2 linked regions of the Caenorhabditis elegans genome follow. Changing the gene in region 1 together with any one later gene gives a genetic interaction. Each region holds a gene or a part of one and is shown on either strand. Other genes may lie near its edges. The genes, in order: gfi-1 and lec-6.

What was found.
Region 2: of gfi-1 (region 1) and lec-6, changing one enhances a phenotype caused by changing the other (phenotypic enhancement), as found in Caenorhabditis elegans (one study listed by BioGRID).

The regions. Positions count from the first base shown.
Region 1 is NC_003283.11:6,393,912-6,402,141, forward strand, and holds the start of gfi-1 (ET module), read right to left. Parts: upstream 6,021-8,230; 5' UTR 6,011-6,020; coding exon 5,885-6,010; intron 5,836-5,884; coding exon 5,612-5,835; intron 5,034-5,611; coding exon 1-5,033. Other genes in the region: bcf-1 (bacterial colonization factor), read right to left, coding at 7,620-7,819, 7,906-8,092, 8,145-8,230.
Region 2 is NC_003281.10:598,742-601,999, reverse strand, and holds lec-6 (Galectin), read left to right. Parts: upstream 1-1,633; 5' UTR 1,634-1,641; coding exon 1,642-1,965; intron 1,966-2,282; coding exon 2,283-2,399; 3' UTR 2,400-2,490; downstream 2,491-3,258. Other genes in the region: Y55B1AR.2 (Flocculation protein FLO11), read left to right, coding at 3,213-3,258.

The sequences.
Region 1 (8,230 bases):
GAGCACCGTATGTTTGGTTGTTGACAAGGAGTCCCTGGTAGCAAGCAGTTGGGAAATCTGGAAGAACTGCTGGTCCTGGTTTCACATTTGGATCCTTGAGGTTGCAGTTGTCCGCGTTGTTACAGCAGCAGGCAGTGACTTCTCTGTCACTCCAAAGTGGACGACAAGTATCCTTAATCTCAAGAGATTTGCAGATAGTATCAGCAACACAGTGATAAGTAGTGACATTGAAACCTCCGACGATTCCAGTCAATGAAGCGCATTGTCCGGAACAATAGGTCTCAGCTCCGAGGCTCAACGAATTGTAGGTAGATTGTAGACCAACGTAGCACTTGAGTGGGTTAGGAGTACGTGGTGGAGAAACAGTTGGGTCGAGGCAAGCATCGGTAGAACAGCAGCATCCGGAAAGTCCATTCTCAATGGTAGTACAATTGTTGTTCATTCCAAGTTGATAGCATGTGCTGACTGGATCGCAAGTGTAAATTGTAGCGTTGGTGAGAGCTCCATTGTACATGGTTGAGAGAGTAGCAGAAGCGCATTCTCCCTTACATGCTTGCCAACCAGCGATGGAAATTGGCATGTTATTGACGTAAAGACCAGAGAAGCAAGCGATTGGATAATCACGGAAGTTCGTAACTGGCATTGAAGTATTGATCTTTCCACCATATCCAGCCAAATCGACGTTGCAGTTGTTGTAGTTGTCGCAGCAGCATCCCGTAACTGTGGTATCATATGGAAGTGGTTTGCACTCGTCGTACATCTCGAGTTGTCTGCAGAATTGGGTTGGCACGCATCCGAAGATAGCAACTGGGTCTTGGTTGAGGGTAGCTTGAATTGAGGCGCACTTTCCTGGGCAGAAGATTTCAGATCCAGTGGCCTTTCCTTGAGCGTAGATTCCAGCGAAGCACTTGCGGAATCCAGATGGTACAGTCTTGTTCTTTGGTGGATCAAGGCAGAGATCAGTGTTACAGCAGCATCCGGAGACTCCTGGGATTGGGGAGGCACACCAGTTGTTCATGTTGAGAGATTGGCAAACAGTGCTTGGGTCGCATCCGTAAAGAGTTGCTGTGGTGGCAACTCCGTTGAGTGTAGTGTTCAATGAGATGGACGCACATTGTCCCTGGCAAGCTCCGAGAATGACTGGAGTAGATGGAACACCGTTGACATAAAGTCCAGTGTAGCAAGCAATAGCATAGTCGACTGAAGTTGGTGGTGGTGGTGGAGTGATGGTGGTATTGGCAATGTTACAGTTGTTGGCATTGTTACAGCAGCATCCAGTGACTTGGTTGTCATTCCAAACTGGTTTGCAGTTGTCGTAGAGTTCAAGGGAGTTACAGATCGAGTTTGGCATGCAGTGATAGGTGTTGACTTGGAATCCACCGACAACTCCTGAGAGGGATGAGCATTGTCCGTTACATGGAATTTGAGCTCCAACGTTAACTGCGCTTCCATTAACAATGTAGTTCGAGCTGATACCAGCATAGCACATAAGTTGGTTTCCTGGGTTACGAGCTGGATAGACTGTTGGATCAATACAGGCATTGGTGTTACAGCAGCAGCCGGTAATTCCGTTCTCAAGAGTGGAGCACTTGTTCAGAATTTTCAAATTACGGCAAACGCGGGATGGATCGCAGGTGTAAAGAGCAGCGGTTCCGGCTTGTCCATTGAATTGAGATGTGATGGATACTGAGACACACTCTCCTTGGCAAGTCTGCCATCCAGCCGAGCTGTAAGCGGTTCCGTTGATGAAAAGTCCGGAGTAGCAAGATATTGGAGCATCATTGAGTGGAGTGAGTGGAATGGTGGTGTTGATCACGTTGGCAAGATGGGTCTGTCGAACGTTGCAGTTATCAGCATTGTCACAGCAGCAAGCTCGGAATTCTGGGTAGTATGGCTCCATGCGGGCGCAGGAATCGTAGAGCTCGAGGGAACGGCATAGAGAGTGTGGAACACAAGCGAAGAGGGTCACGTTGTCATTGGCAATGCGAGCGTTAACCGAGGCACACTTGCCGTCACAGAGTTGTTCAGCTCCGGTTTGAAGTGATGGCACGCTGGTAGAATAGAGCCCGACGTAGCACTTGAGTGGTGGAGTTGGAACGGTCTTTCCTCTGTTCGGATCGAGGCAAGCATCACTGTCGCAGCAGCAAGCGGTGACTCCAGCTTCTGGGGAAGTACAGTTGTTATGAACTTTAAGTTGGTAGCAGACAGACGATGGATCACAAGTGTAGAAGGAAGCCGTGTGCAAAGTTCCGTTGATCGTAGCATTGATGCTGACAGAGGCACATTCACCGAAGCAAACGGAGAATTCCATTGGAGTTTGGTTGAATCCGTCAACGATAAGACCAGCTGGGCAGGTGATTGGATATTCAACACGTGGACGTCTTCTTCCGGGATTGTTGATTGGAGGTCTTGGAACAACTTGATTCAAGTTGCAGTTAGGTCCATTGGTACAACAACATCCAGTGATATCTCTATCATACCAGAGTGTGCGGCAGCTGTCATAGACGTACAAGCTGTTACAGACGTATGTTGGGACACAAGCGTAAACAGTGACGTTAGCGTTGGCAAGTGTTGAAGTAACAGATGCGCAGTTTCCTTCGCAGTATTGTTCTCCTCCGGCATTGAAGATGGTATTTCCCTTCAAATCATAGGAGTAAGCTCCGACGTAACAGAGGTTTCCATCTCCATATGGTTTACGTGGTGGGGTGGATGTTGGATCGAGGCAAGCATCGCTGTCACAGCAGCAAGTCTCGAATCCTTGTTCTTGTTGGTGGCATCTGTTTGTTGAGTTCATCATTCTGCAGATGTAAGATGGGTCACACGTGTAAAGAGAAGCAGTGGTAGCAACTCCGTTGTATGTGGTGTTCAAGTTGACAGCAACACAATCTCCCTTGCAAGCAGTCCATCCTCCGTCAGAGATTTGGCTTCCTCCAATGAAAATTCCAGAATAGCAAGCGCGTGGCATCTCATTTGGTGCAAGTGGTGGAATGGTGACGTTGAATCCAGACGTAGCAACGTTGCAGTTGTCGAAGACATCACAGCAGTACGCGTTGACGAATCTGTCCAAGTAGAAAGTGTTGTTCGAGTTGTCAAGTCCAAGGGAACGGCACATAGATCTTGGAGCGCAATGGAAGGCGGTGACATAGTCGGATCCGACAACAGCGGAAACGGTGGCACAATATCCGTCGCAAAGAACTTCAGCTCCTGCGATGTTTCCCTTGTGCTGGGTGCTGATACCGACGTAGCATTTGAGAGCTTTTCCTGGAACACGGTTGTAGGTTGGATCAATACACTCATTGGAGTCACAGCAGCAAGCAGTGAGAGAGTTGTCAATGGTGGAGCAGTTGTTACGAAGTCCCATCGCGGCACAGGCACTGCTTGGATCGCAGGTGTAGAGAGTAGCGTAGTGAGAGTTGTTATTGACGGTTCCTCCAAGGGAAACAGACACACATTCTCCGTCGCACATGCGGTAGTAAGGCTGGCTGATGTTTTGTCCGTTGAGATGGATTCCTTCGTAGCAGACAATTCTTGGGTCACGACGAGCTGGGATGGCAGTGACGTTGACTCCAGCTGGGGCAAGACAGTTGTCAGTTTCTGAGCAGCAGCATCCAGTGACTTGTGGGTCAGCTCCTGGGATTTGTCCACAGTTTCCGTAAGATCCTCCGAATCCGAGTCCGAAGTAGCGGCACATTCCAACTGGGGCGCAGTAGTAGACAGTTGCGTTCTTTCCGTTGACAACAGAGTTCAAGGATCCGCACCATCCATCACAGAATTGGTCTCCTCCAGTGTTGTATTTGTCTTGTGGAATAGAAACTCCAGAATAGCAACGAAGTTGTGGGCGTTGAGATCCTCTGTTTGGATCAATGCAAAGATCATTGTCGCAACAGCAAGCATTGACTCCTCCAAGAACGCTTCCGCAAGAGTTGGAGATTCCGGCTTGTTGGCACATTGTGACTGGATCGCAAGTGTAGATGGTAGCATTGTGAACTTGGTTGGCGAAGGTGGTGGTGAAGCTAGCTGAAGCACACTCTCCTTGGCAGAGTCCGTAAGCAGAGTTGGTGATGGAAACTCCGTTAACCCAGATTCCTCCGTAGCAGAGAACTGGATACTTGGCGGTAGACACAGCAGAGTTATTCACACGTCCGAGAATGTATGGATTGTTAACGTTGCAGTTGTTGCTAGCAGAGCAGCAGTACACCTCAAGTTCCTCGTCTTGTGGTGGATTGTAGGTTTGTCCTTCAGTGGAAGCAAGTCCGAATCCAGCGCAGACATCGTATGGCATGCAAGTGAAGTATGAAACTTGTTGTCCGTTGGCATTGAACCTGACACGTCCACATCGTCCTTGGCAGTTCATTTCAGCTCCGAGCCAGGTTGTTCCATTGTAAAGTCCGACAGCGCATCTGAGCTGCTTGACTGGGTAGACTGGTGGAACAACAGTTGGGTCAATACATTTGTCCATGCTGTTGCAGGCACAGCCGGTGATGAGAGCGGTTGGGACTCCATTGATGTTTTGGGTGTCAAGGTTCATGCATCCGCTGTCGAGGTTCAAAGCAGTGAAGACGTTGACTGGGTCGCAAACGAAGATCTCTCCCCATACATTGGCTCCATTGTAAGTGGTACGAATACGAGCAGATCCGCATTCTCCCAAGCATTGAGAGAAGGATCCTCCATACAAGAGAGCTCCGTTGACGGAAATTCCTTGATAGCATGTCTGGTTGTTCTTGTTCCATGGAGATGGAGTTGGTGGGTTGTTCATTGGAGCGAGGCTAGTACAATCTTGCTTGTAACAGCAGCATCCTTGAATGTTGGTTCCAGCGAGATTGGTGCAGGCGATTGGATTATTTGGGTCAATATTTGGGAAGATGCCGTCGCAAAGTCCTTGTGGCATGCAAGCGTAGGCAGCAGCGTCGTATCCGTTGTAGACTCCAGAAACACTGGTACATACATTTCCTGCGGAGCAAGTGACGGTGTCCCCTGATCCGAATCCTGGAGTAGTGTTGTTGGCATAGAATCCGACGTAGCAGAGGATATTGCTGCAAACACACAAAATCAGTATTTTACTATTTTTCTTTGATTTTCCTCCTAGGAAAATTTTGGCGATCGCCAAAAATATACTACATATGTATCAGTTTCTTATCACACGATTGGTATTTCGGAATTTAAATGCCGAGGAGCTATCGAGCCACATTTCATGGTTGTGTTGCATGCGCTATTGGCACAATCAGATAAGAAGCGCGCCCAAATGTAAAACAATTATTCCATTATTGTTATCAGTTTGACGTTGACTGTAGTCACAAATTGAAATTGGATTAAATATAGCAAAATAAAGCTTTGGAATTTTGGACTGGTTTTTGCAGTTTTCAAATTACAATATTTTATGAGAGTTTTTTTTTTAAATCAACGAATTTGAAGGTACACATTCTCAAATTGCATTTGCTTGAAAAAGTGTTAATGAAACACTCAAGATGAAAAATTGTTGTTTTGGTACTCATACAGATCTTTTAATCCAATAATTGAATGAATTGGTCCATTTTTTTTTGAAAAAGAAAGAAAGAAGATATACACCTCAATTCCTATCAGTTGTCAAAAAAACAGTGATAACAAAACTCACTTTGGGGCATTAATAACTTCGATTGGCTTTGGAATATTTTCTTCCAAGTCGACCTTGTTACACAACTCATCCTCGCAGAAGCATGATGTCTCAAGCTCACTGCTGGAGCAATCCTGTCCTTTGTTAATGAAAGCCATGAGCTTGTTCTCTTCGCATGTCAAGAGAACAAGTCCTCCGCTTGGAGATTTGACAGTTTGTTTTCTGCACAATCCTTCGCATTCTCTCTGAAGTAGTCAAATGGAAAAATATAGAATTTATATCGGTTGGACGTACCAATTCAACAGACTTTGATGTAATAACATTTTCCGATACAATTAGATTTCCGACTAAGCAGTTTTGTTTAGCACTAGCGAAACTACAACAGCCGGCAAGTGCCAGCAGGAAAATGCCCAAGCGCATCTGAAATTTGAATGTGTTAGTGGCAAATTAAATATTCAATTTCAACAAATGAAGAATAGGAAAATGATTGTTAAAACATGAGTGCGACTTCTCCGAGCGGAAAGAAGAAATTGAGTACCTGACTAATGTAAATTGAGTGAATTAAGCCTCTTATAATGTCAAAATTGTCGAAATTGGTTCATAATCGGCAATCGGTCCTTGTTAACTGTAGTTTCGATAAAACACAAAGTGGGTGGATTCTCAGAACCTTGAAGGCGAAACTTGTGAAGCAGAATACAAAATTATTGACTTCAGCTGCAAAAGAAACAAACAAAGAAAAAGAGCTTCAAAAAGGCATTTGGAGCAGGAAATTTGGTTTTATTGCACATTTTTGCGTCAATTCGTTGATTCAAAGGTGGTCTTGTGGGTTTATTGTCTCGAACTACAGTACTCGGTCATATTAGTAAGAATATGAAAGGGAAAGTACAGACAAGAGAAAGTGCGAGAAAACTTGACTGAAAAACTCAAAAAAGCCCACAGGGATGCGGAATTTGTTTTCAGATTTTTTTAACCATAAATACTGTGAAACTACGATGTAAGTAATAATTTGGTTATTTTATCTAAATTTTAAGAATTTTCCCGCTGGGGCTATTCGATTTTTAGCTTCTATCTAGTTGAGTACAGTATGCCAGTTTGAGCAGTTTGTGGGAAAAATACACCCATTTCCATAAAATCAGGTAATTTCAGAAACGCTTACTGACATTCCAAAACTACACCACTTATTGTTTTGTTTACCTTTTGCCACATCTCACTCGTTTGTTATCAGCACTGATCATAAAACACGGAAATTCGAAAGGAAATTTCAATATCAAAAAATCAAAATTCAATTTAATTATTTCTTTCTTTGAGAGCCTTGAATCTAAAAATTTTATAATGTATCTGAAACAACATTGATCGATATTTTAAAATTCCATGCTGGAAAAATTGGGTTTCATAGTGCGCACTGTGGTAATTTTAGTGCCAGTGTAATATTGACAACAGATCAACAAAAAAACTTAGTTAGCCAAATATCAGTTAAAAACACTACAATTCTTGTTTAATTTCAAGTTGTTTTCTTTGGGTTAAAGGTAGTCTAAAGGTGGCCTAAAGGTGGGTTTATTGTTTCAAACTGTAGTATTCCATCATATTAGTAAGGAAATTGCGAAAAAAAACGAAGTACGAGAAATTTTGACCGATGCCTTCTCCCGATCTTCCTTTAGCAATTTTCGAATAATTTTTTGTTTAATTTAAAAAAATCCACGGTTATACAGCTGAAATTTGAATTAATTGAAAATTGAAAACTGTGGCAACCATTAAACGCGCTCAATACCAATATGTATTAGTTGTTGCTAAAACGGAAGACCGACAAAATATGATATGTGATAGGCCACCTTTAATGGAGTGGCAATGCTTTTGTTTTGAATATTATTTTGTGTCGAGAAATAATTTTATTGTAAAGATCGCTCAACAATTAAGATTTAGAATCTTCAAAGAAAAGGAGAAAATTAAAAAAAAAGAACAAACAAAAAGTTATGCGCGAAAAGAGCACATATGTACATGAAAGAAATGAGAAAAATTATCTAAAGCTGGCCTAATGTCTAGTCAGAGCGATATACACAGCAGCGAAAAGTGCAAGAATTGAGAAGGTGATGGAAGATGAGCCCTTTGTGGTTGTGGCTGGTGATTGTGTGGTTACAATTCCTGGGCCATTGTTTGGACCAACGCAGTTATTAGTGCTACAACAGCATCCGGAGAGTCCGCCGTCAATAGAAGCACACGAGTTGGTCAAGTCTAGAATTGATTAATTTTGAATTTCGAAGAATAAATAATGGCCAGCTATGAAATATATTGGCTATACATTAAAAAAAAAAACTTACTCAAGGAGGTACAGACAGTAACTGGATCACAGGTGTAAAGTGTGAGTGTCTGGTTTCCACCATTGTATGGTGCAGTGTAAGAAATTGAGGCGCACGATCCAGCGCAAGCACTGTAAGAGTCAGCTGTGACTGGTCCTCCATTGAGATAGATGGAAGAACGGCACAAAATCATTGGAATTCCAGTTGGCTGAAATGGTATGATACGAATAACTTTGATTATTTTTAAGCAATGAACTTACAACTGGAATAGTGTTTGTGGTGTTTACGGCAGCTTCCTTGACGTTGCAGTTGGTTCCGGTTGTGCAGCAGTAACCGGTGATATCCT
Region 2 (3,258 bases), on another chromosome or scaffold:
GAAAATCTTAAAGGTGGAGTACCGAAATCAGAGACTTTGTTTTTAGACCCAAAATAGCCCAAAACTACCGAATTTCGTAATGAGACGTTTTCAAAACTTCGCAAAAAAAAATTATGGCGGTTCAAAGTTCTGGAAAAACAGACCCATTTTCAGCTAAAATAAAATTTTCATTCTTTGATAAATATTGTGGTTTTTTATTAGGAGTTTATTGTTTGATTAAAGTGCATTTTCGGTCATTGGGGCACAAAAACATAGCTTTTATTTGTGCCCCACTGGCCGAAAATGTACTTAAACCAACGAATAAATGCGCATTAAACGATCACATTATTTATTAGAAAGTGGTAATTAAATACAAATTAACTTCCAGACGCAGCGACACCGAGAAGTTGGAAACAATTTGATTTTAGCTGAAAGTGGACCTTTTTCCAGATTTTTGAACTGCCATAACGTGTTGAGAAATTTTCAAGATGTCTCATTACGATATGCGGTAGTTTTGAGCCTAAAAAGCAAAGTCTCAGATTTCGGTACTCCACCTTTAAGCTTTAAGTTACTGTAAACTCAAGTTTCAGAAGTTTTTAAAAGTTCAATTTTTATAGTATTGGAAAGTTTACCACATACAATTGCAATATGGCTTAACGGAGGAAGATTTTAAGAAAATGCCACATTGAAATTCTCTGAAGATTCATTGAAAGGAAAAGTACTATTTATAAGTCAGCATTAAAAAAACTGCCACGTTATATATTGTTTAGCGCTAATAAAAACCCAAGCTATTAAAGAAAATTGCGGTATCTTCTGTCTTCAATGTCAGCGGGTTTTATTACATTATTGATCGGTTTTTCTTGGTGAGCTGGTATGTACCAAGTTCTCCCTGTAACTTGGCACTTCGATAATAAGGGTTGTAAATGGTGACGTGTGGAACGAGGAACAATTAAATAACTAAAATACGAATTTAGGTTGAAAAACTCCTAAAATAAAACAATTCAGAGATTTTGCAAATTTGTTAAAACTCTAGAATTTTATCACTACTTCCTCTCTTGACGTTTATCAGCACACATCTTAATTTCCAAACTAACTCGTGACATTCTTTATGCCGGGCTGAATTTTTCATCGAAAAGCCTTTTTCAGTTCAGTAAACAAGCAACTTATCATCGAAATAGTTCGAGGCGGAGCATATGCCAACTCATCAATAAGTTGATAAGAAACACTGCTTATAAGAGACGATGGCAGGTGTACAATGTACTCAAGCCTTTTTTTCCATGATTCATGTAGTAAGGAATTCTCTAGAATCGTATTTGATGACTCATAGGCAAGAATCCGCCCATTCTGTGATGTATAAATAGATGAGGATTGTTTACATTTATTGCCCAATTTCTATTTTTTTTTCGTTGAACATTTTCCCCCAGTAGACACCGAGAATTGTTTACTTTGCCGAGGGTTTTTCATACGCTCTTATCAACTTTCAAACTACTCGGCTTTTCGATCTTTAGACATTTTACATCACCTAGTGATAAAACATGCGATTTAGAGCCAAAGAATCAGCTTACAATTCTCATAGATGTACATTTTATACGAATAGTGGTCTTAGTATTGCTCCTAACATGTTTCCCTTCCCAACTCACACAGTTGATTTCAGAATCAACCATGATCGGAGGAGGAATCGGAATCAGCTTCCGCAACGAATTCTTCAACCCACAAACCCCAGTGAACATCCCAGTGCAAGGATTCTCCAACGGTGCTCGCCTCCGTCTCGTTCTTCTCCCAACATCCGCCGATTCTCGTTTCCACATCAATCTTCGCACTCCAGACGACATTGTTCTTCACTTCAACGCTAGATTCGATGAGGGAGCTGTTGTGAACAACTCGACCAGCGGAGGAGGTTGGCAATCCGAGGATCGTCACGCCAATCCATTCCAGCAGAACAAGATCTACACTCTGGAGTTTGTGTCCAACGGTGGAATTATCTCGGTTAGTTGGATTCTGGGCTTAAGAATGTTAAGGCGGACTGTGTTCGTGCAAAGCACGTGGTGCCAGACTGTCTCGTTGCGGTTTGATCTACAAAAAATGAGGGAATTTTTCGTGACATCAGCACACTCTTAATCATGCGAAATCAGTTGAGAAGTCAGCGCCTCTTCGGCCGCATTTTTTGAAGATCACACCAAAATGGGACACTTCGACACCACGTGGAAAAGTTTGATTTTTCGTACTCCCATCTCTGATGAGCATTGGATTTCGAGCCCTGTTCACCTACTGAAACTTAATCTTTAAACTATTATATTTTTCAGATCTTCGTCAACGGAGCCCACTTCGCTGACTTTGTCGAGCGTACTCCATCCCACGGAGTCCATCTCATTGAGATCGAGGGAGGAGTTCATGTTCATTCCGCCCATGTTTCTCACTAATTTATTTAATTTTTGGTTTAAAATACTCTTTCTTTATGATACATTTTGAATTTTTGTGCAAATTTCATATCAATAAACCTTGGTTTTGAATATTTCTATTTTCTAAATTCCGAAAAATGGATTCGCAGACACTGAGTCGAAGCGCCATATTTTACGCGCAATTTCGGCAGTAATGGTAGAGGTCACCGCTATAAAGTTGATAATTCATAGTTTATTATTATGAAGCATCAGTTTTAGCGTGCTTAGCGTCCCCTAATACTTTTTAATCATTACTTAGTTCCAAAGGGCATTTTCTCTTAAAACTTCTTATCTCGAAAAAATAGTGAAGGAATTCGATTTATTCTTCGGAAAAGATTTTTTTTTGAAAATTCTTAATCAGATTTTCACTTATTTTCTTTTAATAAAGCTTTATTTTCTATTTTATATCCACTCGTTCATTTAAAGCAAGTTTCAAAAACTGAAATCGAGGAAAATACTATTTTAGGGTACTGTAGTTCCTGTTCGGTGCAAACACTGTGGCTGCGGACCGGGCACCTTATTTGACGCACAAAATTTATTTGAATTATTTTTTTTCATTTTCTCTTCGTTTTTGTCTATTTTCCAGCCAAAATGCCTGTTTTCCATTAAGTTTTTCAAAACAATTATTCGAAAATTTAAATTCTAATTGAAAAATTGCAAGAAATTACGAAAAATCCACTCGTTACACTTTTTTTCACGAGAAATAGTAAAAAATCAACTTTCCACGTAACTCTAATTGTTTTTTTGCAATGAAAGTTAGATTTAATTTTATTTTCTTCGCAAAAACTTTCCAAAATGACTGCAACGTCGAAAAAACGATTATTCAAATTTACAACTGACG